Canis lupus familiaris: one gene and its partners. The protein of the gene in region 5 interacts with the protein of the main gene of each other region in a pairwise test. Links are inferred from orthologs where the notes say so. Each region holds a gene or a part of one and is shown on either strand. Other genes may lie near its edges. The genes, in order: ADAMTSL4, FOSL1, KIFC3, SPRED1, CREB5, EFEMP2 and FOSL2.

What was found.
Region 1: the proteins of CREB5 (region 5) and ADAMTSL4 interact in binary tests that used the Homo sapiens proteins (3 or more experiments, as listed by UniProt). The two-hybrid records come from large-scale screens. The link is inferred for Canis lupus familiaris from reciprocal best matches to the Homo sapiens genes CREB5 and ADAMTSL4.
Region 2: the proteins of CREB5 (region 5) and FOSL1 interact in binary tests that used the Homo sapiens proteins (3 or more experiments, as listed by UniProt). The two-hybrid records come from large-scale screens. The link is inferred for Canis lupus familiaris from reciprocal best matches to the Homo sapiens genes CREB5 and FOSL1.
Region 3: the proteins of CREB5 (region 5) and KIFC3 interact in binary tests that used the Homo sapiens proteins (3 or more experiments, as listed by UniProt). The two-hybrid records come from large-scale screens. The link is inferred for Canis lupus familiaris from reciprocal best matches to the Homo sapiens genes CREB5 and KIFC3.
Region 4: the proteins of CREB5 (region 5) and SPRED1 interact in binary tests that used the Homo sapiens proteins (3 or more experiments, as listed by UniProt). The link is inferred for Canis lupus familiaris from reciprocal best matches to the Homo sapiens genes CREB5 and SPRED1.
Region 6: the proteins of CREB5 (region 5) and EFEMP2 interact in binary tests that used the Homo sapiens proteins (3 or more experiments, as listed by UniProt). The two-hybrid records come from large-scale screens. The link is inferred for Canis lupus familiaris from reciprocal best matches to the Homo sapiens genes CREB5 and EFEMP2.
Region 7: the proteins of CREB5 (region 5) and FOSL2 interact in binary tests that used the Homo sapiens proteins (3 or more experiments, as listed by UniProt). The two-hybrid records come from large-scale screens. The link is inferred for Canis lupus familiaris from reciprocal best matches to the Homo sapiens genes CREB5 and FOSL2.

What each region holds. Positions count from the first base shown.
Region 1 is NC_049238.1:60,400,314-60,404,118, forward strand, and holds part of ADAMTSL4 (ADAMTS-like protein 4), read left to right. Parts: coding exon 1-33; intron 34-236; coding exon 237-409; intron 410-564; coding exon 565-676; intron 677-782; coding exon 783-968; intron 969-1,374; coding exon 1,375-1,504; intron 1,505-1,860; coding exon 1,861-2,065; intron 2,066-2,401; coding exon 2,402-2,578; intron 2,579-2,863; coding exon 2,864-3,070; intron 3,071-3,155; coding exon 3,156-3,335; intron 3,336-3,616; coding exon 3,617-3,761; intron 3,762-3,805. UniProt on the Homo sapiens protein: Positive regulation of apoptosis. May facilitate FBN1 microfibril biogenesis.
Region 2 is NC_049239.1:51,871,373-51,874,275, reverse strand, and holds part of FOSL1 (fos-related antigen 1), read right to left. Parts: intron 2,024-2,903; coding exon 1,826-2,023; intron 1-1,825.
Region 3 is NC_049223.1:57,991,134-57,994,938, reverse strand, and holds part of KIFC3 (kinesin-like protein KIFC3), read right to left. Parts: intron 3,525-3,805; exon of another isoform or gene 3,252-3,524; coding exon of another isoform or gene 3,240-3,251; intron 2,380-3,239; coding exon 2,314-2,379; intron 1,817-2,313; coding exon 1,673-1,816; intron 1,528-1,672; coding exon 1,288-1,527; intron 849-1,287; coding exon 675-848; intron 57-674; coding exon 1-56. UniProt on the Homo sapiens protein: Minus-end microtubule-dependent motor protein. Involved in apically targeted transport. Required for zonula adherens maintenance.
Region 4 is NC_049251.1:5,952,259-5,956,063, reverse strand, and holds part of SPRED1 (sprouty-related, EVH1 domain-containing protein 1), read right to left. Parts: intron 2,400-3,805; coding exon 2,231-2,399; intron 1-2,230. UniProt on the Homo sapiens protein: Tyrosine kinase substrate that inhibits growth-factor-mediated activation of MAP kinase. Negatively regulates hematopoiesis of bone marrow.
Region 5 is NC_049235.1:41,626,888-41,631,318, reverse strand, and holds the start of CREB5 (cyclic AMP-responsive element-binding protein 5), read right to left. Parts: upstream 2,871-4,431; 5' UTR 2,373-2,870; coding exon 2,262-2,372; intron 1-2,261. UniProt on the Homo sapiens protein: Binds to the cAMP response element and activates transcription.
Region 6 is NC_049239.1:51,889,229-51,893,666, reverse strand, and holds the start of EFEMP2 (EGF-containing fibulin-like extracellular matrix protein 2), read right to left. Parts: upstream 2,847-4,438; 5' UTR 2,778-2,846; intron 1,971-2,777; 5' UTR 1,911-1,970; intron 1,584-1,910; 5' UTR 1,576-1,583; coding exon 1,465-1,575; intron 1,232-1,464; coding exon 1,183-1,231; intron 539-1,182; coding exon 332-538; intron 1-331. UniProt on the Homo sapiens protein: Plays a crucial role in elastic fiber formation in tissue, and in the formation of ultrastructural connections between elastic laminae and smooth muscle cells in the aorta, therefore participates in terminal differentiation and maturation of smooth muscle cell (SMC) and in the mechanical properties and wall integrity maintenance of the aorta.
Region 7 is NC_049238.1:22,382,777-22,386,581, reverse strand, and holds part of FOSL2 (fos-related antigen 2), read right to left. Parts: exon of another isoform or gene 3,576-3,805; intron 3,295-3,575; coding exon 3,043-3,294; intron 1-3,042.

The DNA of each region.
Region 1 (3,805 bases), on a different chromosome or scaffold from region 5:
TTGCCCAGCTCCAGCCCAGCTCCAACTACCTTGGTGAGCTCTCCAGATCCGAGTGTTGGGTGCCTATGCCATTCCTGGTCTCTTGGTTCAGCCCTCCACACCCCTTGGAGCCCAGCAAGTGGGCCAAGAGAATAGTCAGGGGCTCCTTCCCATGTGGCAGTGGTGTGGAAGCCAAGAGAGTGTGGGGTGCCCGGGGCTCGGCGTGGCTGACCTCTGTCCTGATCTCTGATCGGCAGCCCTTCGAGGCCCTGGGGGCCAGTCCATCATCAACGGAAACTGGGCTGTGGATCCCCCTGGGTCCTACACGGCCAGTGGGACTGTCTTCCTGTACAACCGTCCTTCTCGAGAGGAGGGCAAGGGGGAGAGTCTGTCAGCCCAAGGCCCCACGACCCAGCCTGTGGATGTCTACGTGAGCTTGGGGCCTGGGGAAGCTGGACAGCTGGCAGGGAGGGAGGGAGGGCCTTCCCTCTGGGGCACAGCTGTGGGTCACGAGATGGGGGAGAAGGCTAGCGGTGTGCCCTGGCCGCCCCCACCCCGGACAACTCCTCCCAACTCTCTCTCCAGGTGATCTTTCAGGAGGAAAACCCAGGCATTTTTTACCAGTACATCGTCTCTTTGCCTCCTGCAAACCCTGAGAGCACCACCCCAGAGCCCCCCAGCCCCCAGCTGCAGCCAGGTGAGGCTCTGCTCCCCTCACCTAGGGGGCGGGGAGGGACTGGAAGGGGAGCTGTGAGGCAGTGGGCTGTATCTGATCTGCCTGCGTGACTGACCACCCTACACAGAGATCCTGAGGGTGGAGCCCCCACCCATGTCAGTGCCCCGGCCGGCCCGGACCCCAGGCACCCTCCAGCGCCAGGTGCGGATCCCCCAGGTGCGCCCTCCTCCGCTGCCCAGGACACCCCTGGGGTCTCAGACTGGGTACTGGAAGCGAATGGGACACTCAGAGTGCTCGGCCTCTTGTGGAAAAGGTGAGACTTGGGATCCCTGGGTGGCGCAGCGGTTTGGCGCCTGCCTTTGGCCCAGGGCGCGATCCTGGAGACCCGGGATCGAATCCCACGTCGGGCTCCCGGTGCATGGAGTCTGCTTCTCCCTCTGCCTATGTCTCTGCCTCTCTCTCTCTCTCTGTGTGACTATCATAAATAAATGAAAAAAAAATTAAAAAAAAAAAAAAAAGAAAAGGTGAAACTTGATGCACTAGGCCTGTATTCCTGGCACCTTTAGACTAAGACCCTGACAGGGCACTCCTGACCCCACACCCTGGATTGAGGATCCATACCTTGACTCTGTGTGAAGATGAATTCCAGTGTCTGGAGCTGCACGGACGCTGGGCTCTGGGCCATCCTGCCTCCCCTGGCTTCCCTGTCATCTCTTCAGGTGTTTGGCGCCCCATTTTCCTCTGCATTTCTCGTGAGTCAGGGGAGGAACTGGACGAACACAGCTGTGCCATGGGTGCCAGGCCCCCGACCCCCCTGGAGCCCTGCCATGGTCCCCCATGCCCGCCCTAGTGAGTATGACCCACAGGGAGGGCTGGGGTCCTAGGAGCACAACAGTTGTCCCCGGCAGACGCATTCACACCGCCTTAGCGTATTGCCCTGGACTCTGCACCCAACACACTAGGCCTCCTGGCTGCAGAGACCCAGTGTTTGATTGGAAAGGCTCACGCTCCCTGGACAGGAGGAGAACCCTGGCAGCCCGAGCCCCACAAGGGAAATTGGGCTCCAAGTGATGAAGACACCCGCCCTGCCCTGCAGGGTTTCCCTCCCCCAGGACTGTCATCCCTTGCCCCACCCATGGCAGCCCTGCACACCTGTGTTTTCTTTATCCATGTCTCTGCTTCTTTCTTGCCCTGTTACCCCACAGCTGGGAGGCTGGTGAGTGGACGTCCTGTAGCCGCTCCTGTGGCCCCGGCACCCAGCATCGCCAGCTGCGCTGCCGGCAAGAATTTGGTGGGGGTGGCTCCTCTGTGCCTCTAGAGCGCTGTGCACATCTCCCTCGGCCCAATGTCACCCAGACCTGTCAACTGCGCCTCTGTGGCCACTGGGAAGTTCGCTCCCCCTGGAGCCAGGTGAGTGGGGCCCGGCAAGGGAGCTGCCAGGGTGGGAAGGACCCTAGGTGGACGGGTGCCAGTGAGCTAGAGCAGTGGTTTTCCTGATCCTTTTTAACTGGCAGAAGCTTTTTAATGACAAGACCTGAGCGTGTGAAACCCCAGCATATAAGTCAGATGAGACCCTGAACCGGGGATTGGGGGCCCAGAGCCACCTGTCGAGTCTGCCCCTCAGCCCATACAGCCCTATAGGTGCTGAGTTAGGGAAGAAGGCAGGTCCTGGTTGCAAGGCCCTGGAGCCCGAGGCTGGAGGCCCAGAGGCCCGGAGGCTGGGCTCTCACGAGCTCTCCTCCCCAGTGCTCAGTGCGGTGCGGGCGGGGCCAGAGGAGCCGGCAAGTTCGCTGCGTGGGAAACAACGGCCATGAAGTGAGCGAGACGGAGTGTGCGTCAGGCCCTCCGCGGCCCCCCAGCAGAGAGGCCTGTGACATGGGGCCCTGTACCACAGCTTGGTTCCACAGCGACTGGAGCTCCAAGGTGGGCCCCACAGCCCTTACCCGAGTCATGCATCCCTGGTGCCCACACCCAGGACCTTTCCAACACATTTTGGTCCACATTTACTGAACAAGCCCTGGTATGTGCTAGATGTTGCTGATGCTGGGATTCCGAGTTAAGTGAGAAGAACTCACGTTAGGGTCCCGGACTCCCATTACAGGTTCTTCTTACCTGGGTGGTACCCGGGGCACTCCCCAACTCAGGGGATCCAGGACGGGCCCCCCTCAACCCCTTTTCCTCCTCCCCTACCCATCACCTTCTCAACAGTGCTCAGCCAATTGTGGGACTGGAATCCAGCGACGGTCTGTGGTCTGCCTTGGGAGTGGGGAGACCCAGGGGCTGGGCCAGGAGGAAGCAGGGGCAGGGCCCAGCAAGCAGAGCTGTGCACCGGGAAGCCGTCCCCCAGACATGCGTGCCTGTAGCTTGGGACCCTGTGAGATGACGTGGTGCTGGTACACGGGGCCCTGGGCCGAGGTGAGCCAAGAGCTTGGAAGGGGGCTGGCAGGAGTGATCCCTGTTCTCCCTTCCCCTTGCACACCCTGCCCTTCCTCTGTATCAGTGCTCCTCAGAATGCGGTTCTGGCACGCAGCGTAGAGACATCATTTGTGTGTCCAAACTGGGAACTGAGTTCAACGTGACTTCCCCCAGCAACTGTTCCCACCTGCCCAGGCCCCCTGCCCTGCAGCCCTGTCAGGGGCAGGACTGCCAGGACCGATGGTTTTCTACTCCTTGGAGTCCGGTGAGTGCCTGACTCCCCTGTCTTGTTGAGCTTCTAAGGAAAGTTTGGAGGCTCCACTCCTGGTATCCCCATTGTGTCCCAGCATGAGGCCAGCTGCAGCTGGTTTATTATTGCCCCACTTCCTGTATACATGGAGGACAAGTGGGCCCTGTCAATGTGGGATTGCATAATGTTCCTGGTGAACCCCCCCCCCCAACTACTTTCAGAGAAGGAGGTGGCCTGAGGTTCAGGAGGAACCTGGGTCACAGCAGAGGTCTGATTTGATAGCGGGGTCTCCGCAGTGTTCTCGCTCCTGCCAGGGCGGTATTCAGACCAGGGAGGTCCAGTGCCTGACCGCCAACCAGACTGTCAGCATCCGATGCCCTCCTCACCTTCGGCCCTCCAGGAAACGACCTTGTAACAGCCAACCGTGCAACCAGCGCCCCGGTAAAGAGCCTTTTCCCCCCTAATCCCCAGTACAGTAGAGTTAA
Region 2 (2,903 bases), on a different chromosome or scaffold from region 5:
GAAGCAGCCTTTATTACTCTGAGCCTCTGGGACCCAGCTGCTCTTTCTCGAAGGACCCTCATTCTCCACCCCCCCTTAAAAAAAAAAGATTTTATTTGTTCATGAGACACTCACAGAGAGTCAGAGACATAGAGACATAGGCTCCCCGCGGGGCGCCTGATGCGGAACTCAATCCCAGGACCCTGGGATCACCAGCAAGCCCAAGGCAGACACTCAACCACTGAGCCACCCAAGTGTCCTCTTCCCCAGGGGTTTGTAAGCACTAAGAGGAGTTAATGAGTGTTGCTGCTGAGTACGTTTTTTATTTTTTAATTTTTATTTATTTATTTATTTAGTAAGTTGTTTTTTATTAGGAACCTATTACATGCCGGCTAAGAGCTTTACACAGATTATTTACCCAACTTTCCTTTTTTTTTTTTTTCCCAACTTTCCATATAAGGAACTGAAGCCCAGAGAGGATAGATAACTCCTTTATGGTCCCAGAGCAGAAATTAAAATCCACTCACTCTATTCAATATTGAGAGGCCTGCTGATGGGGACCAGCCCCCCACAAAGAACCCTACTTAGAGCTCATAGCCCCTGTCTAGGAGTCCCAGAAACAAATAGCCACCCTCAGGTCAGGGCTAAAGAAGTCCAGGAGCCTGCCTCTGGGACCTCACAGCATGGTCCTCTTCTGCAGTTGGTCACACTGCCAATCCTGCTGTTTCTGGGAAAGCCACTCCTGTCTAACTGTTCATCTTTGCAAGATCCTGACTTCTCATCTACCCTGCTGTCAGGGCAAGCTCCTTAATGAGTAAGTCTCACTCCAGTACAGTCTCATAAACCAAAATGAAAGAGGAGCAACTCCCTTAAAGACCCTCTATCTCTTATTTATGTTGGTAAAGATTTTTTTTTTTTTTTTTTTTAGTGTGAAGGCAGGAGCCCTGGTTGGGGAGTCAAGAGTTCCCAACTCACTCTGCTTCGAGCCTCTGTTAGCTCTGGATGAGATAGTGTGGCTTGATGGTTAGGATCTCACTTTAGAATTGAAAAGACCTGTCTCATTACTCACTACTTGTGTAATCTGGGCAAGTGACTACCTCTGTGCCTTCATTTCCCAGCTGTAAAGTGGAGAAAACCAGAGTGCATCCCTAGAGGCTATTTGTAAAGATTAAATGAGATAGGGAAACAGCCCCAGAGAGTAGCTACAGGGAACCCTCCCCTTTCTGTTCCCTCCCAGCACATAGACAGCATACATCTCAGCAGGGATACCCTCTACCATCCATCCACCTTTCCACATGTACACCTTACACGTTCTCATGTCCACCTCCATTCTTGTTCCTGCCATCCTCTCTCCCTGAAATGTCTTTTCTTTCATCTCTATCTATGAAGATCCTACCCATCCTTCTGGGCTAATATACCTCCAGCTTCAGAAAGCTTTCCCTAGCCTAGAATCACCTCTTGCCCTCTGGATCACCCCAAGGGCTCCTATTACTCTCAGCTTTGGCCAGGAGTCATCAGTGGCTCTTCTTCCCCAGCACTCCCTTTCTAAGTCTGTTTTTTGTTTGTTTGTTTGTTTGTTTTTTGTTTGTTTTTTAGATTTTATTTACTTATTCATGAGAAAGAGAGAGAGGCAGAGACACAGGCAGAGGGAGAAGCAGGTTCCATGCAGGGAGCCCAACATGGGACTCGATCATGGGTCTCCAGGATCATGCCCTGGGCTGAAGGCAGTGCTAAACTGCTGAGCCACCCAGGCTGCCTTGCCTGTGTTCTTTTGGCCAAGAACTTGTCCTCTGCACCTCAGCACCCCTATGGGCATCAGAACCAGTGCAATGCCTTTGCTACTTACCTGTTCACAGGGTCGGCGACGTACCCCTGGAGGTGGTCCTAGGACCCGGATGACTCCTGGCCGGGGCTGTGGGGGGCTGTACTGGGGGTAGGTCAGAGGCCTGGGGTAGCTGCTGGGTCCCAGGAAGTGGGGTTGCACCATCCACTGCAGGTCCTGGCTGCCACTCACAGCATTGATGCTTGGCACGAGGTGGAACTTCTGAGGCATAAGAAATGGAAAGCCAAGGATGAAGTCTGTGTAGATTGAGGGGCTTCAACAGGACAGAAGCCACAATTTCATCCACCGTCAATGCAGCTGCTCGTTCCGTATGACCAGAAAGAGCACAACTTGACAGAGAGACTAACTTGGTGACAAATCCCTGCTTGGGAGCTATGTGACTTTGGGCAAGTCTCATAACCTTGCTGTGCCTTCATTTCCCTGTCAGAACTAATACATATAACATATGAATTCCAGGCACTGTCCCAACCACTTTACAAATACTGACTCATAATTTGCACAACAGTGTCTTCATTTTCAGACAGAAAAACAGTTGTCCATAGGTCCATAGCCAGTAAGTAGGAAGTGGAGTTTGGCCCTGGCACCTAGGCTCTCAGCTACTCCTGTACTCTGCCTGAGTCCCATCTGCATAGAAAAATTCCAGCTCCTAACTCCAGGGGTGGCTGTGAGAATCCAGTGTGTGACAGTGCCTCGTAAGTGGCAGGTGTCCAATGCACAGAGGCTGTGGTGGCAAGAACCACTGCCCTGGGTTTAGGCTGTCCCAGTTAGCTCTTAGCTCAGCCACTTACTGGCCATGACTCTGGGCAAGTTATTTAACCTCAATGTGCCTGGGTTTCCTTGTTTTTAATACTGGTGTTAAGTGAGGATTATGGCATTTCATTGATGCTAAGAAATGCCTTTTAATAGCTCTAAATCATAGTTGGATTGGCAACTTTAAGAAAATTTAGTGACATAAAACAATGGTGTGGGTTTTCAAATCAATGAATTCTTCGATTCTGTGAAATACAATACGGTTAATGAGGTAGAAACCTCCCCGAACCATGCAAGCTGCACTGTATGTACTCTATGTATTACCTGCCAA
Region 3 (3,805 bases), on a different chromosome or scaffold from region 5:
ATCTCCTCCAGCATCTGCCCATGTGCCCGCTCCAGCTCTGACTCGTACATGGCGATCTGACGGCCAAGGCCAGAAGCTCAACGTGGGGCTCAGGAGGGAGTGGGGTGGGTGCCAGAAAGAAGCCCTATGCCTTACCCCACACATGTACAGGAGCAAACAGCATCCACCTCCACATGCACACATACAGTCTCACACACACACACACACACACACACACACACAGGAGAGGCCATCTCACTCCTGGAAAGTTCTGTGAGCTCCATGCAGCTACTTTGTTGCATTAGCCCCAGCACCAGCCTGGGTCCTGACACATAACACATACACAAGCCACAGGCCCCAGCAGAGCATATTATGTCATAATAGTGACCAAGGCCCCTTTCCAAGAGCCTGTGTGCCCGGCCTGCAGGCAAGGACTCTTGGCAACTATTCTGAGTTCCACAGGGAGGTAGCTTCTATGAGCACATCATTTTATGGACGAGGAAACAGAGGCGTAGATAAAACTTGGCGCTGGTCACACAGCCAACAGGGAGAGCAGGGTGGGGGGGCTGGAACCCAGCTCCATGGGCCCCCCAGTACTGAACCGCCGCGCTGTGCTGCAGGCCCACCTCTGGCTTTCCCACCGCGTGTGCATGCTCTCCCACAGCCCCGTGCGTGTGCCCTGGCAGCCTGCGCACCTGCGCCCGGAGCTGCGCCGTCAGCTGGTGAGAGCTCTGCAGCTGCTGCTCCATCTCCTTCAGCACCTGCCTCTGCATGGCCACCTGCTCCTGCAGGTGCTGGTTCCGGGCCTGGGACTCGCTGAGGGCCTGCTTGGTCTTGGATGACTCCACCTCCACGGTCTTGATGACGTACTGTGAGGGGGAGGAGGGATGGGCGCCTGAAGGTGCAGGTGCCTCGACCTCACCCCCGGGGGGGCCCTGAGACGCAGCTGGCCTTGGGAGAGGACCCTCAGGGACATCCCACCAAAAGCCCCCAGAAAAAACTAGAGGAACTTCAAGGTCCTGGCTTTACAGGATGCTGCAGGGCCTCCGGGCATCCTCTCATCTCAGTAAGCCCAAGAGCCTGGCTGTGACCCCAGCCTGGGCACAGAACAGACAGGAAGGGCAAAGACGACAGCAGAATCTTGCCATGTACCACAGGCATGCCTGGCACGTGTGGGCGCCTTGAGCCTCGGCTGCCAGATGCCTACTACATGTCTGGCCCTGGACAGCAAGAGGGGGAAGGGGTAAGACTGGGGTGCAGCCAAGAAAGCAAGGACATTGCACGTGGCCACCAGCGCCAGAGGCTCACCTTGATGGGTGGCGACTGGGCCCGCAGGCTGGCGATGGTCTCGTGGCTGTCTCGCAGGCGCCGGCTCAGCCGCTCCTCTTCCTGTGCCTTCTCGGCCAGGCAGTCCTTGAGCCGCAGCTCGACCTCGGCCAGCCGGTCGGTCTTCTGCTGCACCTCCAGGTTCAGCTCCGACAGCATGCCCTTGTTCTCCGCCACCTCCAGCTGTAGCTGTGACAGCTTGTCCCGGAGCTGGGCACTCTCCTGCAGACAGGTGGTTGGGAGCGGGGTGGGGACAAGTGTGTAACAGATGGGGGGGGGTACCAGCATGCAGGGCTCCCTGCAAGGAGAGGAGCCGGGGTCACCGTTAGGGACCGAGCCCTCTGGGAGCAGGTGGCTCTGTGCTCACCTGGCTGTGTTCGCAGCCCGCGCAGGGGGCCACCGGCTTTGCCCGTAGCTCTTGTAACTCGGCCTCGAAGCGCCGCATCTCCTGCCTCAGCCGCTCATTCTCCACTACCAGGAGATCCCGGTGCTTCTCCAGGTCCGTGCCTCCCTGCACGGAGCCAGAGCACAGGGCATGCATGTGGCAAGGCCAGGCCCCGGGAGCAGAGAGCAGGGAGGCCGAGGGGGCACCAGCGCAGAGGAGAGAGAAGCAGGAGAGGGAGGGGAGACAGCTCAAGGGGGACATAAGGAGAAGACAGAGGAAGGAAGGGGAGCCGGGGGGATGGCCTTACCCGCCCCTCTCATGCTATTTTCCCGAGTGTGAAAGTAACAAGAAAGTCATATTTATACACAGAGTTCACACTCCTGTTTTACATCGGCAGATGAGAATTAACCTCCCTCCCTTTGGGGGTCACACGACCTCTGAAGGCCTAGTGAGTGGTGACAAGTATTTGGGGAGCATCTCTCAGGCCCAATGGCATCTGCTGGGCTGGACTCGAGGGCTCTGGAGGGATGGGGTCCCACACCTCAAATGGAAGGGTCAGTCTGCACAAGGCCAGGCCAGCCCCCCTGCAGCCCCCACCTTAGGATGGCAGTGTGGAGCCTCACCAGCTCTGATCGAAGGCGGCTCACTTCCTGGGCCTGGCTAATGAGCTTCTCCTTCAGGTTTTCCACCTGCCAGCACAAAGCCACAGTCACGGTGAGCCTTGTTCCTCACTTCTGGCCCACGCTCAGGCCTCATTTCTCAGCCCCGCATGCTCCCTCAGTTCAAGCATCAGGGCACACCCAGGACTCTGGGTGAGAGACACCTGCCCTGTCCCAACGGCCTTCAGCACCCTCTCCTACCACAAGACCCAGGTAGTCCCGCTCTCAGCAAAGTCTGGGGAGCAAGCACAGCAGAGGTGACCTCTATACCACTCTGTGCCCACACCAGAGGCAGCTCCCTGGCAGACTCAGGAGGCTGACCTTCAGGACCCCCACCTTGCACAGTCCCTTGCCACAGCCTGTGTCTACATACTTGTAATTTTATATTCCCTTTTCATAAAAGGGCTCCCAAATTGTATAAACTCCAGACACAATGAAACCTGATTGGTCCTTGCCCAGAACCTAGATTTTTCCATTCCAGTGGTGCCTGGCAAGTCTGCCTATAGAGACAGGTCTACCAGCAACCAGGGCATGTCTTGGACCTGTGTCCCCCCACCCCCCAGGTCCCTGTCTGCCTTGCTGGACAGCTGGGACCATCAGAGAAGGGTGTGTGCACCCCATCAGGAAGCAAGGGTGGCTTGGCTCAGCCAGAGCCAGAGGAAGCCACCAGGATGCCAGTTCTGAGAGTGTACATCCCAGGGTAACAACCCTCCCCTAGAGTTGTCCTCCAGCTGGCCACCCTCCCTGCAGACTCCAGACCCCAATTCTGCACCAGCCCCCCTCCAGGAACCTCTTGGGAAATAACCCAAAATGCAACCGAAGACTTTGGCACCAATGTCATCAGTGCATATTTAGGGGTTTTGTCACAGAACATTCTGTGATGACCGTACCTGACTGTACATCACCTTGAGAAAGCCCAGTGAGAGTCAGACTCTCTCTGTGGGGACCTAGGAGGTGGGTTTGACCCAAGCAGGCCACGAAGCATTGGGTCTTATTAGGAAGCAACAGCAACAAAGTCTGCTGCCTGCAGAGGCCAGACCAGTAGGAAGGCAGGTGAGGGGCAGCACAGGACTGGATGCCCAGCGTCCACCCTGAGAAGACAAGCTCAGCGCCCTCCCTGCAGGCCGTGGCTGGGAGCACACAGGCCCATGTCTCCAGACTTCTGTCCTTTCAAGAAAGGACAGCTGTGGGGGTGTTGGGGTGTGTCAAATCTCCCCATTTTACATGGCTGAGATGTCATCAATGGTCTGTGGCAGTATGGGCGGGGGGGGGAGGAGTGTCACAGCTTAGAGCTCAGTCTCCCAGAGCAGGAGGAGGCCTCTGCTCCTCTGAGTTGGTGAGGGGAGGAAATGGACCAACAGACCAGGCCTGTCCCACTTCTCTGCCCACCCCAGGCCCCCTTCTGTTGAGAACCTGGCATGAGCAGCACTCAGTTCCTCTGGCCTTAGAGCAGAGC
Region 4 (3,805 bases), on a different chromosome or scaffold from region 5:
AAAAATTTGCATAACATGGATGGAGCCAGAGAGCATAATGCTAAGCAAAGTCAGTTAGAGAATGATAGATACCACGTCTTCATTCATACACAGAATTTAAGAAACAAAACAAATGAGCAAAGGAAAAAAGAAAGAGACACACACACAAACCAAGAATCAGACTTTTAATTATAAAGAACAAACTGATTGTTACCAGAGGGGAGGTGCTTGGGGGATGGATGAAATAGGTGAAGAGGATTAAGAATACACTTATCATGAGGAGCACTAAGCATAGTATGGTTCAATCACTATGTCATACACCTGAAATTAATGCAACACTGTGTGTTAACTACATTGGAGTGAAGATAAAAAGCTTAATTAAAAAAGGTAAAAATAAGTTAAAAATTCTAGCAGCCACAGATAATGATTGTCTTTTTAAAGTACTGGATCTTGGACACTACCTAAATATCAGAGTCAACTGGCAAACTTTTAGAAAATATACTGGTACCATAGTATATTCTCAAACTGGTATTGTCAGAATCTGGGATGAGGCAAGGCATAGGACATCACATATTTTTTATTTCTTGCAGTGGTTTGAGAACCACACCACTACTGGAGAATCTCAGGAACTTCCCCCCCCCCCCCAAATTCATTATATTATCATTTTGCAATTTTCCATCACATCTGAAATAGATAGGAACGTGAAAGAAAGAAGAAAGAAAGAAAAGAAAAGAAAAGAAAAGAAAAGAAAAGAAAAGAAAAGAAAAGAAAAGAAAAGAAAAGAAAGGAAAGCCCCAGCTCCCCTCCCTAGATAGACAGACTTGACTAGTCTGGAGTGGGGACCAGTTTTTCTATTTTCCAAAGTGTCCCAGGTGACTGAAATGTATAGCAAACAATGAGAACAATCTAGAAAGAACTTATAGGTTCCTGTCATAAAGCTAAAATGACTGCTACTATTCCATGGAATTTTTCTAAACTGTAAATCACTTTGTTTACCAATCATTAATCCCTGAAAATAGATAAATAGATTATTTAAGCACAGGTTCATGCACCAGCAGTACAGATTTATACTAAGCCTTTCCATGTTCTTGCCTATTGCCAGTCTCATAGTTCATTCATTTCTTCTAACTTTCCTATTAAAATATCTTCAAAATATACAAATCACAATGCTAATATATTTTGATTATTACTTTATAAGAAGGTTATTTCTATTTATAGAGACAATTTTCCTTCTTAATTAGAAAAACAAATCAAGCCTTAATTATAACCTCGTTGTGGGAAAGAAATGGGCCTTAAAGTGCTTCTTTTTGCTTAATTAAGCAGAGGCCAGTCTTACACGTAAATACATTCTTCTTCCTTTTAAAACCTGCAAGCTTTAGAGTTAATAATCTTAACAGACTGGCAAAATATACAAAGAGGTAGATGGGGCTGTGGTCTCTGCCAATCCTCAATAATGAAACCAGAAAAAAAAAAAAAATGAAACCAGGTAAAAAGCTAAGAGTTTCAAGAAAGGGTTCGCCATAGGAAAAAATAGAGTCTACATATGAAAAAGAGAAAATTTCTAATAACCCAATTCAATTGAACCTTGAACAATGCAGGTGTTAGGAACACCCACCCCTGCCCCGCCCAAATGCAGCTGAAAATCCACACATAACTTTTGGTTTCCCAAACACTAAATAATCTACTGTCCACTGAAGCATTATCAGTAATATATACAATTAACACATATTTTGGGTATCATATGTATTATATACTGTATTCTTAAGAATAAAATAGAGAAAAGAAAACATTACCAAGCAAATCATAAGGAAAATACATTTATAGTACTGCACTGTAAAAAAAAAAAAAAATCCACATATAGTAGACTGGCACAGTTTAAAACAATGTTGTTTAAGGGTCACCTGTTTTTGATTATTTAAATTTTTCTTTTTTATTACCAAAACAAGGATATAATTGATATAACAACACACAAAGATTTTCAAAGTTCTGACCGCTCCCTCTTCTTCATGCTGTTACTTAGAACCATTGGAATCATCTGAAGTCTGTACTGATGAGTTTGAGGTAATACATGTAAGTGGTATATATTATGATGTGACAAATATAAAATGGATTTTAAAAAAGCATGATTTTATCTTTGCCTAGAGTGAGTTTTCAAAGCTAATTACATAAATCACAAAAGCTGTCTTGCTTAAAGTCACTCTACTCTACCATATAGGTTAAACAAATTAAGAAAGCAGTTAAGAAAACCTACCTTGAGAAATATCTTCTATAGCTCTTCGAATGCCTCTATCAAAAGCCCTAGCATCAGCAGGACTTTGAAAGGTAAGGCCAAATTTCTTGTCATCAATCTTCCAGTGGTGAAATGTTGGAGTGACCTTATTGTAAATGAGGTCTTTTTTAAGCATACATTCCAAAACCACCTGCCAAGAGTTAAATGCCAAAGATTACTATACTTATATCACATAATCTAATGTAGCTCTTAAATACAAATGGAGGTGAGAATAAGAGCTATTTTAGTAAATGCATTTCCCCCTTCTATTAATACAGAGGTCTTGCTAGTTAATCTACTTCATAAAGTCACTCAATACAGAAATCAAAATGGGATTAAAGAGGATTCTGGAAGATGACAAAGTATGAAGGAAACTTTCTCCCCACTTAGACAATAATTACATTGGCAGAATCTGTCTGATGTAACTATGTTGGAAATCTGAAGTCTGTTGAAGGTTTGAACTCCCAAGGGAAGACGTGGACAGCAAACTGGGGTTAACTTTGGTCAATCTCTGCATTAGTACAATAGCAACTACCCATTTCCCATGGCAGGAAGATATGCACAACATATTCCTGGAGCACCCTGCACATAAATCACAGGAGCCAGGGTGGGTAAAAAGAACCCTGTCCTCCACATATCAGGGATCTGTGCTCTGATTACTGATGACTAACTCTGATCAGATAGGTGCAAAGAAGGGGATAGCCATAGTTGTTATATCTTCCCTTACTGTTTCAAGTCCCTCCTCAACAGAATCAAGAGATGTCTAGGTTATTTAAAGGATCAGCATCCTTTTTTTACCTATCATTTATTTTTTCCCATTTGGGGTGCTAGACATTAAAGACCAGGACATTCAAACAAAATTACATTCATGGGGAAAATTAGAAACTGACTATTCATACCCAGGGAAATACTCAGAAAAGACATGAGAAGATCTAAATTTATACGTTAGGCAGATCCTCAGCATAGAGACAACCTACAACGATTAAAAAAATAAATAAAATCTTACAGAAGGGACAACCTGACAATCTGATTTCCAGAGTTAGCACACTATTTGATTTAACGTTCAGTGTTCAACAAAAAAAAACTTAAGGCACACAAAGAAACAGTAAATTCATTTTTTCCTTTTCCCATTGTAAGAAAAAAAGAAAATCAACAGAAACTGTCCCTAAAAAAGGCCTTACGGCAGATTAGGCAAAGGCTAAAAAAAAATCCCACAAAACTGTCCTAAGGAGAAAGTCAAGAAAATGATGTACAAACTAAAGTATCAATAAAGAGACAAAATCTAAAAAGAAATTCTGGAGCTTTAAAGCATAATAAATGAAAAAAAAAATTACAAGATTTAAAGCAGATTTGAACAGGCAGAAAAAGATCTATGTACTTGAAAACAGACAACAGACATTACTGAGTCTGAAGAACAGGGGTAAAAAAGATTAAAGAAAAGCAAACACAGCGGGAACCCTAGGTGGCGCAGTGGTTTGGCGCCTGCCTTTGGCCCAGGGCGCGATCCTGGAGACCCGGGATCGAATCCCACGTCGGGCTCTCGGTGCATGGAGCCTG
Region 5 (4,431 bases):
TTTTAAAAAAAGATTTTATTTATTTATTCATGAGAGACAGAGAGAGAGAGAGGCATAGACACAAGACAGAGGGAGAAGCAGGCCCCATGCAGGGAGCCCAACGTGGGACTCGATCTCGGGTCTCCAGGATCACACCTGGGCTGAAGGCAGCGCTAGGCCGCTGAGCCACCGGGCTGCCCTATTCACTTTTTCTTTAAGGTTTTATTCATTTATTCATGAAAGATACAGAGAGAGGCAGAGACACAGGCAGAGGGAGGAGCAGGCTCCCTGTGGAGAGCCCAATCTGGGGATCATGACCTGAGCCGAAGGCCATGTTTAACTACTGAGCCACTCAGGTGCCCCAAATCTATCCACTTTTCTCCACTCCCCCGTCACCATCTCAGACAAAACCATCATTGGCTTAACTGGCCTTTTGGAATAGCTCACAGTATGAATAGCTGACCTTTATGAGGCACCTACTGTGCCAAACAGCTCTCATTTCATCCTCAGGGTAACTCCACTAGGTAGGGGTTATCATTAGACTCCATTTTAAATGCAAGGCTCACGCAGGCTAAGTCGCCTGTCCCCGCTGAGCTGACAGCTCAGTCTGTCAGACGCAGTGGCCTTCAGTCCCGCCCATCTCACTGTCCTGCCCCAGCCCTTCCTTGCGGCCATCATGGCTGCCATGCTTCTAATATTCCATGGTGAGAGCGGCACTTCCCTGCATACAACCCTTCATTGTCCTCTAGAGTAAAGTATGAGCCTTTTAATAAGGTTCTACCTGAGCATGTTCTTCCTTAACTCTCCCGTCTCATTCATTACCAATTCCTACAAGTGCTTTGGTAGGACACCATCGCTGTCTCCACCTCCATGGTAGACACTCCACCAGAAAGAATGAGTTAAGAAATCCTCTCATGGGGGCACCTGGGTGGCTCAATGGCTGAGCATCTGCCTTTGGCTCAGGTTGTGATCTCAGGGTCCTGGGATCGAGTCCCACATCAGGCTCCCCGCATGGAGCCTGCTTCTCCCTCTGCCTATGTCTCTGCCTCTCTCTCTGTGTCTCTCATGAATAAAATCAGGAAGGAAGGAAGGAAGGAAGGAAGAGGAAGAAGGAAGGAAGGAAGGAAGGAAGGAAGGACGGAAGCTAAGAATAGAATACGCAGAACGAAGACTAAGAAAATCAAGCAAACCCCAAACGAATACCATCCTCCTCCATCGACATCCACTCAAGCACTCCACCCTAACGCCCTCCATCCTCCCTACCGCCCAACCCTCCCCCTCCTCCTTCCTTCCGTTCCTTCCTTCCTTCCTTCTCTTCCTTCCTCCCTCCCTCCTCCCTCCCTCCCTCCCTCCCTCCCTCCCTCCCGTCCTCCCTCCCAAGAAAGAAAGAAAAATTAATTCTCTCATGGGTCCCCTAACCCCCTACCCTTACCCCTGTGAAAACCCTTAGAAAGCAGAACATCGAATCATCAGAATTAAAACTGCAGGTTCTGACTGCTGGTCTTCAATTCCAGTTCTGCCACTTACCAGCAAGGTGACTTTGTGCAATATTCTTAACCTCTTTGTAAATTAGGGGTAATAACAGCACAAGCGTGTACCTTACCAAGTTGTTGTAAAGTTTACATGTGGAGCAATCAGATAGGGTAAGCATACATGTTAACAAGTAAAACTTTTCCTTATTACCCTCTCTTACTCTTTTTGTTTGTTGGTTTCTGTCTATTCCAGCAAACCTTCATTATCTGTGTATAAATTTCATGATATTAGTGTGATTTCTTTACTTGGTAAAATGTTTAATCCTTCTCAAAATTCTTTGTCCTCAAAGCAATTCCATGAAATAGGCAGAACAAATTATTTTACAGAGAGGTCAAATGTCTTTATCTGTCACATGAATGTAGTGGGAACATTGTTTTTAGCAGGCAGTGGGGTTTTTTTGAGAGCAAGAGCAGGAGAAGACACAGTATCTGTGGGAGAAACTGTAGCTATAGAAAAATCATTATCTTCAAAGTGCTATTTGAGCCACTTAATCTGCTTCTCTGAGGCTCATTTTCCTTATCTATGAAATGGGGATAATGACACATACTTTATAAAACTGCAATGAGGTTTAAGCAAAATAACATATATAAAGTATCTGATCAGTGCCAGGAACCTACTGAACACCCAGTAAATATTAGGTAATGACACAAGACCCCACAAAGCCAAGGTCACTGAATTGGCCAAAAGAGGTGCCAAACCAAACCCAAATTGGACTATACATGTCCCACCATGACAGCCCACCCTCCTACCTGGCCATGTTTTCTGTAGAACACATCCGTCAGCTCATTCATAAATGTGTATCCTGCCTGCCCTCTGCTTTGCCTGGAAAGAGAAGGTGGGGAATGGAGAGACGGGAACATAGAAGAGGGGATTTAACACAACCCGTGATGATAAGATTTCAGGACCTAAAATCACCCAGGGGCCTTGCCTTTATGGGCAACCTAATGAGAAACACCAGTGCGGCATGACTCCGATCCAACAACGAGTCTCACTTCTTTAAGGGCCTTGGCAAGAGGGAAACAAAGTCCCCTTTCCCTAATTCTTATTTTCAGTACTTTCTCCCTCTTCCAAACCAGACAAAAGTATCATCAAGCTGCAAGCTCAAATTCTGACTGAGGAAGCAGGAAAATGGCATGCCTGGACAAGGGATGGGAGGGATGGGGTTTGCAGAGGTGGCTCAATGCCAGCTCTAGAGAGGGACTCCCTCTCTAGGAACGTGACCACAGCAAGGCACCCATGCTCATTTTTCCAGGATGCCAAAAAAAGACCAATTCCACTGGGGTGTTCACATGGAGCAGTCAGCAAGGGAGGGGAGGCTTGAATGAGCACAGCCCATCTTGGCAAGGAGGGTGACAGGGTGTGGGTGTCCTGTCATCAGATCTGCATGACATCGACCCAGCCCATTATTACCTCAGCAAGAATCGCATCACTCAGGGAGCATAAGGACCAGGCCCACCGGAGTCATCAAATCCCACAGCAAGGCAAGAGAGGCCTCTTGCCTCTCTCCTTCACGGTTCCTTTAGGCCTTTCTATGGGAATTGCTATTCCTGTGACCACTAGGTCTCAGGCACACCTAAGTATTTAACATATGTTAACTCACTGAATTCCCACAACATCCCTTCCAGGAATGCAACAGCATCCATATTTTACTGGTGACTGAGTTGAGCTCCGAGAGGTGAAGTCATTGTCCATGATCACACAGTTAGTCCTAGCAAAGTTGAGATTCAAACCCAGGTCACTCTGAGACCACAGCCCATGTGCTTTTCCCACCAGGCTACCCAGCCTCCAAAATAAACTCAGGATCCCTCTCCTAATGCTACCCTTTCCTGTCTGCCTCTGTTGGGGATTATACAATCTCAATAGGAGTAAAAGATTTTTTTTATAATGTTCCTATAAATTTAAATCCAGCTTTACATAATCTTTCATTGCTTTTTTTTTTTCTTTTCAAAACACCATCTATGCCACCCGCATTGCAATACTCACTTAATGAATACTACATAGTCAGGCATCTTGATAGATGCTAGAAGATATAAAACACATAAGAAATAGTCTCAGGCCTTCCCCCCAAGACCGAAAGCTAAGCCCGACCTGATACAAGGGTTAAGGTGCCATCTCTTGAACTAAGCATGGCTCATTTGTCTCGCTGTTAATGTGTCCTAATCCTACACCCCAGTTTAAATACCGGGGCTGCTACATGCCTAGAAACCAAGATTTCCAACTTTAGATTTCTTCTCAAGGTCCTGTCTCCCTGTTCTAATTGCCTGATTAGTAACACCACTTCCTCTTAAGGCCAGGGTCCCGCCATGATCTTCCACACCGCCTTCCCAGGCCTGGAGTCCTGTCCAATGGCACAAAATCTGATGGAACAGCTACCATCCACTCTGCAGTCTTAGTCTGCCTGTTTTTTGGGAACCCCTGCCCCTGCCTGTTGGGTTTCCACTGCAAATCTCTCATGAAGACAGTGATCACTTACTGCCATGGGTACCAAGATACCTGGGCTGGCCAGAGATTCTGTTCTGAGACAGAGGGCAAATCCAATTCTAAGCCCATGTACCACCAATCCCATCTTTGTAGGTGACTAGGTTGTACCTAGCTGAGTCCCAGGACAAGAAGAAATGGTCCCTTTGTTTCTCTGTCTGAAAGCCAGTCTCCTGCAAACAAGTTTTTCTGCACATATGTAAAAGATCCAAGCATATCCACATGAAATCCAGTCCCCTAACATAGGAATTTTTTTCATTCATTTTGTTTACTTTTTGTGTAGCACCTTCTCAAATTTAAAAACAAATTTTTTGGCATGAGACAGATATAAACTACTTTCAGGTCAACTACTCCCCAATTCCACAAAGGTGTAGTAACTGCCTCCCACATGTAGGACACAGAGGAGGGCCCTGTCCCAAGCATACTGTGCAATCCCCTATT
Region 6 (4,438 bases), on a different chromosome or scaffold from region 5:
ACACCGATTCCAGGGCCTTCCTCCAAGGACCATGGCACCCACAGGTGGGAAGTGGGTAGAGGGCAGAAGCTAAGAGGCAGAGCTCTTGCCTGCCCTTGCAGTGTGTCTCTAGCAGCTGAGAGGGGGATCCAGATGCTGGCTAGAGCACTGAGACCAGAGCTGGGGCCACCTGTGGCAGGCACCTCACAGAGTGAGGATCTGGATGGCAATCCCAATAGCTCTGAAGAGGCTTTTGAGCAAGAGAGCAATTGAGGTCCGAGTTTTTAAGTTGCAGTGATAGATGCTTAGTAGGTGGACTGAAAGCCCTAGTGCCAAGGTGACCCTCACTCACCCACACAGCGCTCTTGCTCGTCAGGTTCATAGCCTGGTAGGCAGGGGTTGGGGTATTCAGCAGGGGGCACTGGTGGTGGTGGTCCCTCGCCATGCAGATCATTGATGACAGCGGCTGAGCGGGGCAGGCACAAGTAGCCCCCATAGTGGTTGATGCATTTCATCTCTCCCTTGCAGGCCTCGGGGATGGTCAGGCACTCGTTGACATCTGCAGAGAGGGGTCTGCTGGGCACAGCCGGTCTCCTGGGCTGGCTGTGAAGTGGGTGGCAGGTGGGAGCCCAGCCCGGCCTTCTATAAGCTGTGTGACCCAGGCAGGGCCTCCTCTCTCGACTCAACAAGCTAAGGTTCCCTGCTCAGAACCCCTCCTCAAGGCCTGCCTGGGCAAATGGTGGGGCAGGGGGCTATTCCCATAGTCAGCCCCATTCTCTTGTCCCCAAGAGGCTCTCTACCCCTCCCCATAGCCTGGGCCCTGGCTCAGCCCAAGAGTGACGGGCAGGCCTCCCTACCCACCCCGCAGACACTGTCCTCCCAGGACGTGATGGGGCAAAGCCAGACGGGAGAGTAGTTCGAGGTATCCAAGACCCAGCTCCTCTGGGCAGTGCCCTGCTGCTCTCCTGCCCACTGAGTGGTGGGGACAGGATGTCCCGGGCTTCTCTGAGAGGGAGGGGCCTGCATGGCTTCTCCACCCCTAGCTGAGCTGGCCCCCAGAGAATCAGAGCTGGCCTCCGCCAAGCCAAGCTGGGCAGAGGACAGGTCATCGGGCTCCCTGATGCTGCTCTTGGAGCTGAGCTTGCAATCCCTTTCCCAGTTCCTGGGGGTGGGTCAGTTCCCCAGTTCCCTGGGCACACTCACCCCGGCAGTGCTGGCTGTCGGGGTCCCACTCATAGCCATCTGTGCATTCCTACAAAGGGACCAGAGATGACCAGTAGTCATCCCCAGTCCCCTTCAGATGACCAGGCCAAGATCAGGGCCTGAGTCTGGCCACCCTCCCAGCCTGCTCCAAACAATGGCCCCCAGCTGCTTCCTACACCAATCAGGGGAGGGGACAATCTCCCCCAGCAGCAGCCACCCCAGGATCCTGATCTCTGTGTCCCAACCCAGCCCGGCCCAGGCCAGTGGCCCCACTGTCCCCACCGTGTAGCTGTCGGGCTCCTCCGAATCCTGGGGAGACGCTGCTCCCAAAAGCAACAGCAGCAGCGCCCAGAGCAGTAGAGACCCGGGGAGGCAGGAGGCGAAGGGGAGCATCCTGGGGGCTGGGAGGTGGCGGAGGGGTAGTGGAGGGAAGGGGGGTCAGGGCGCTTCCGCCACGCACCCCCACCCCCATTCCCTGTACCAGAACTCAGAACCCTGGCCCCAGCCGCCCCCCGCTCCGTACCGTGCCTGGGGCCCCGGAGCTTCCCAGGACCCAGGGCCCACTCCACCCTCAGGCCGGGGTTCGGGGCCCACCCGCCCGGGGCCGCCCCGCCCCCGCCCGGTCCCCCAGTGGCGCGGGCCGAGGAGCGCGGGCCTCTCGGCTCTGCGCTGACGCCGACTCGGCCGAGACTCCGGCTCGCGCCCTCCCCACACCGACCGCCACTCACTTGAGCCCGTGACGCCCCCGCGGCCCGCGTCTCCGGCGGCTCGGCTGGTTCGGGCAGTGCCTGCGGGCAGACGGACGGGCGGACGGCGCAGCTCCCTGGACGCGCGGCCCCAGGAAGCGCCCCCCGCTCGCCCGCCCGCCGCGGCGCGGCCCACCCCGGCGCCTCCGCCCGCCCCTCGGCGGATTCCTGAGCCCGCGCCAGGGGGAGGGACCCCGACCCCCCGCTTCTCCGCCCCCGGCCAGCCACAGGCCCCCACCCGGTCCCCCGCGGCGCTGCCCGGAGCCGCCTCCTGGCGCAGGGCCAGGGTCCCCCTAGATCCCCATCCCGGGTGTATGGCCTTGATGTCAGGCCCCCAAACTCACCCGAGAGCCTCTGGGCCCTCACTTTGTGCACCCCACTATGTCACCCTGCGCACCTGGACCCTACAAATCTGGGCTCCTGGAATTCCGCCCTGCGCACCCACAAATTAACGCCTGGGCCTTCACACTCTGCGCCTCCCAGAATGTCATCCTCGGTTCCTGGACCCCATCTAATCCTGGGGCTTCCAGACCCTCGCTCTATGCCCTGCAGACCTTTACTCTGTGCACCTTGTACAGTCATACTGGGAACACCAAAATTTCATTCGGGGGCCCCAGACCCTCGCCCGAGGACGAGACGCTCCCAGGCCCAGAACAGTTCAGGTGCGCCCCTTCTCTCCTCCATCCCTAGGGCTGTCAGCCGCAGGTGGTCCCTCCTCTCCTGGACGGCCTCCTCCCAACAATCGTTCTGCGAAACCACAACGGTTTGGGAGCGGGGTCTGCAGTTGCCTTTTGGCCCAGAATGAATGGAAGCCCCTGAGAAGGCAGGCAGGGCTGAACTGGCGCGTACCGGACGCCAGGGTCGGGTGCCAGTGCCCCAGCCGCTCTCCTTCCCAACGCGTCCCCACCCCCAACCTCGGGGTTCCAGCCTCCTTTCGGGAGCCGAGGGCGAGGGCGCGCCTTTCGGGGAGGAGATTGGGCGGAGTTGGCTCCCAGGAAGGGGCGGGGCCTCCTCCTGCCCACGTTTCAGGGCGGGACCAGACGGGAAAAGGCCGCGTGTCCAGGGATCTCCCGCCGGGGGGCAGACGAAGTGCGGGAATCGCTGAGCCCTCCCTTCCCCTTCCCACCCGGGGTTTAGCCTCACGATCGCCCCCAGTGCAGCCCCGCCCAGGGGGAGGGTGTGCTGACGGGGGCAAATGGGTCCGCAGGTCAGCCCTTGGGGTTCAAGGTGACTTGGAGAGTGCACCCCTCCACCCCCCAGATCCTTCACATCCACGGGGGCGAGGATGCTAAAAAGAATAGCTCTTCTAAACCAAAAAGACAGGCATTAACAAGTGTTGGTGAGGAAATGGAGAAATTGGAATCTTCCTGCACTGCAGGTGGGAATTTAAGATGGTCCTCTTTGGGAAACGGTGTGGCAGGACCTCAGAATGTTACATGACCCAGAAATTTCACCCCCATGTACATGCCCAAGGGAATTGAAAACATGTCCATACAAAAAGACCTATACACAACATTCATAGCAATGTTATTCATAAGATCCAAAATGTAGAAACAATCTAATGTTCATTAATTGATGAATGGATAAACAAAATGTGGTAATATGATGAAATGTCACTCAGTCATAAAAAGGAAGTACTGATGTGTGTGCTAAAACCAAGGAAGAATCTTGAAAGTATTACCCTAAGTGAAAGAAGCCAGACATACATCCTCATATTCCACTAATACGACACATCTAGAATTAGGCAAATCTAGGAGACAAATTCATGTTTGCCAAGGGAAGGGGGGACTGCTGACATGGTTTCTTTTGGGGGTATGAAAATATTCTGAAATCAGATGGTGGTGATGATTACTCAGTTAAGCAAGTACACTAAAACCATTGAATTATATAAAGTTTTTTTAAAAATTTATTTATTCAAGTAATCTCTACACCCAGTATAGGGCTCGAACTTATAACCTCAAGATCAAGAGTCCTGTGCTCTTCTGACTGAACCAGCCAGGCATCCAGTGAATTGTATATATATATTTTAAGATTTTATTTATTTGAGAGAGAGAGGCAGAGACACAGGCAGAGGGAGAAGCAGGTTCCATGCAGGGAGCCGGACGTGGGACTCGATCCTGGGAATCCAGGATCACGCCCTGGGCCAAAGGCAGGCGCTAAACTGCTGAACCACCCAGGGATCCCCTGAATTAAATACTTTAAAAGGCTGAATTTTATGGAATGTTAACTATGACTCAATAAAGTTGTTTTTAAGAATAATAAGAGTTCTTAAATTTCAAGATATAAACTTCCCAGCCACCAGCATGCACTTCATGCAATCCTCCTGCAAGGGAAGGGGTACTTGTATCATCCTATTTCACTGATGAGAGTGTGCCTGAGATTTGTCCAGGCACAGCCAGAGTGGTAAGGAAAGGATGTGGACTTAAGTCATTGTGATTCCAAGACTCCCTGGGCTCTTTGCCTCCCAAGTAGAGTATTAAGGACCTACCATTTGAACATCATTCTGTGCC
Region 7 (3,805 bases), on a different chromosome or scaffold from region 5:
GGGGAGGAGGGCGGGGGGTGGGAGTGAATGGGTGACGGGCACTGGGGGTTATTCTGTATGTTAGTAAATTGAACACTAATAAAAAAATAAATTAAAAAAAAATAAATAAAATAAATAAATAAATAAAATCTTAAAAAAAAAAATATGGGATTGCTAGGACCTGTCCTATCTTCCAAAAAGTTTCTGTCTTGATTAGATGAGATGCAGTGTGAAAGCCCTTTCTACTAGAAAGTGCTGGAAGGGAAAAGATATAAATCAGAGGTCCCTTTGCCGATGCTTTCTCAGAGCCCTGAAAGAGTCCAGATGAACTGGAGATCCAGAGTTCACCCACTTGGATACCTTTTGCTCTGTGTGTGGGTTGGCTGCCCAGCTGAGGTCATGAGGCCACCTGGCTGAGGTCCTCAGTACTTGCTCCTCCTAAACCTGTCTCAACCTGAGCCCAACAGTTACCAAGAGAGCCTGCTGGCCCTGCTGCAGTCCTGCATTTGAGCAGTCCTGGGTTCTCTACTCAAAGGTCTACCAGGGCTCCCCTTGAGGCCCAGAAAAGCCCCTCATCCTTCACTGACGATGGGCAGAAAAGATGAAGAGATGGTTGTAGTACATTTTAGCTTCCCTTCCCCCTTGGCAGCTTCCGGACAACTTCTGGCCTCCTGATTAGCCTAGAAGTCTCTCCCCTATCTGTAAGATATGAGGCAGCTAGCGGGAGCTGTCAGCATAGGAAGTGTTGAGGGGTGGTGACACCAACAGAGTTACAACTCTAGTGTGTCAGTGCCACCACGTACCTACCCACAAGCCACACACTCTCTGCTCCCCACCCTCTCAGTCACCACCACTGGCCTCAGAGGAGCCTCTGGGCAAGCTCTGAGGAGGCTAGCGAGGCACCATGCTGGCTCTGGGTAACAGGCTCCTCTCCCTGGCAGAGGTCAGGAAGGCGGAAGTCTGCTTCAGAGGAAGACCCTCAGGCTAGGAACCCAAAGAGCCAAGGTTCCAGGATGCTACTGCCCAGGTCTCCTGTGAGCTGCTGGATGATTGTCTGAATTCCTAAGTGATGTGGGATAAAATGCTCCTGGCTCTCTCCCTCCCTCTCAGAAAAGGAAGGAAATTCTCCAGACAGATTGTCTTAAGGCACGCCTAGGTGGTATGCTGGGAAAACCACAGGGCTGAAGGTCAGAGGAGGTGGATCCCAGCCCCGGCTCTGCCACTAACTCACGGTGTCACCCTAGACGGGACCCTTCTCCTTTCCAGACCTCTGTGTCCTCATCTGTAAAATGGGTACAGAGGGGAAATTGGAAAAGCTGGTCTCCTAAGTCCCATCCGGATGCAAGCTTCTAAATTTAGTGTGAGCTTGGCCCAGAAAGGAATGGAGAATGTTCAGCACATCGTACGTTTTGTCCTGCTAGCTCGAAAGTCCCTCACAAAACTGGCTCTCACCTAGGGGTCACTTCCATAACATGGTACCAGCTCATCAGTGACTGTAAAGCTTGACACCTTGGGCTCCTGAAGGAAGCATATTTTATAAAGGACAGTATGATTACCATTACTGCAATGTTGACAACTACAATTCTGGAAAGTAACAGTGGGGGAGAGGGGGATATCGGCCACTTGCCGCAGGAGCAGAAGCCCAGCAACTGCAAGCAGCAACTATTAGAGTGTCCACAACTCTCCACATCACCCTGTGGGGTCCTGCCATTAACAGAATAAACCAGTGTGTAGGGGATGCAAGGCCCAGCTTTGTCCTCAGAGGAATGGAGATCCTGTGAATGCTTCCAGTTCCTCAGAGTAGGAACCCTTGTCATCTTAAGCACCCTGGGGACTCTTGGCCCTGGATCCATGATTCTCCACAGCAGCCCATGTGCAAAAGGTTTTTGTATTGGGAAACTGTGGACCTGGGATCCCAGAATGCAAGTGGATGGTGGTAACTGATAAGAGTGATTTTCCAGGCTAATATTTCATTTCAAAGAGGGATCCTACTGCTAAAGTATTTTCCCTTCCCTGGATCCATGGGGGCATGGTACTGTAGAAAGAGCACCGCACAGAGAGTCCAGGGAACTGGGTCCAGACTTCCTCACTCTCTTGCCAAGTGGCCCCAGGCAGGTTTGTCTAGGCTCTGGTTGCATCATCTGTGAAGGACGACAGAGGCAGCTTTTTGAAGGCTCATCCCCTCTTATTATGCAGGACTCTGATTTCCGCTTTTGGGAATCAGGGGGCCTGTCGTTATCTTGGCTCACTACTGACACAGATGACATGCTTTTGAGTATGTAGACAGTATCTAGAGAGCAGCTTTCTGGTGTCCCTCCCTGCCAGGCTGACTCTTTCTCAGAGCGGAGCCCTTTGAGGGGAGGACAAAGCTGATGTCTGACCTGCCCCCCATCACACGCTGTTAGCTGAAGCAGCTGAGCAGACTCCAAAGACCCCTGAGTTACTGCACTTCTAGGACGGGCATTCCAAGTATTCAAAATGGGATCCTGCTCCAAGCCAGAGGCCTAGGAAACCAAGCAGGAATGCCAAGGACGGTGGGCCTGGAGGGTGACCCTTTGGGTCTGCGGAGTGTTTCACCTGCACAGATACCAGGTGACAATTAAGGACCAATCCACCAGAGCTCCCGGCCAGAATTTGGTTGGCCGCTTGGCCTGCAGCCCCTCTGCCACGGATCAGGGAAGGACACAGCTGTAGGCAGGCCCTAACAATCCTTCCCATCTGCTGACACCTTACCACATACAGTGTGTGTTCCCACATGTGATCTCATCCGCGTGGTAGTAAGTCCTGTCTGGCAGGTACCATTATCCCCATTTTGCAACTGAGGAAGCTGAGACTCTGGGATGCTAAGGGACATGAGCAAGATGACAGAGCCAGGCCTGAGTCTTGGGCCTCCAGCTCTGCTTCCAACAATGAGGGTCACGGGCCCCCAGTCCCGAGCTCCCTCTTGTCCTCAGTGCTCCCAGGACACTGCCTCAGCCCCTCACCGGTACACGGAAAGACACTCCATGTTATGAGGCTCTGAAAGCCACCGAGGTGGCTCCTTCACCCTGACCTGAGCTGTACCTGCTCATCTCTCCTCCTGCGGCCCACGGTGGTGCCAATGGTCTTGATCACGCCGGGTCTTGGGAGTGCCATGTGCCCGGGGACAGAGGCCAGGCCCGGCAGGGGGCTGTAGGGGTGTGAGCGGGGGTACGGGTTGGACATGGAGGTGATCACTGTGGGCTGCACCATCCACTGCAGGTCCTGGCTGGTCGTGATAGCGTTGATGGTGGGGATGAAGGCGCTGCCTGAGCCAGGCATATCTACCCGAAATTTCTGAAATGAGGAGAAACAGAGTATTGAGTCAGTAAGTACCCCGCAGAAGAGGACAAGCAGAGCCAGGAGGGAGAGCAGAGTCAGTGCCTGTGGGGCCAAGCTCAGAACACTGGGTGGGCTTCCCTGGACATGCAAGAATGAGCGGGATCTTAACTATTCCTGAGGCCCCATGTCAAATCTGTTCCCCTGAGGGCCTCGGGACCCCATTTCCAGGTGGCTCATGAGGATGTAATCATATTACAGCTTTGGGACAACGAAGATCACCAGGAAGCTTATTATACCTGCTTTTGTTACTTCCCAAATAGGTGTAGGATGGAGCTGTGACCCGATCCAGGGTGAGGCCAGGTCCACAAAAAGCTGCCTTTCAACTCATGAGACTGAAAAGTGGTAGCATTTGTGGCCAGATTTCCCTCTAAGTCCTTGTCCTCCTCCCGGCCCTTGACCACCATGTTGCTTAGAGTAGACACACGCTCTCTCTACCTACATATCTGTGTTCATAGATGTGTCTGTG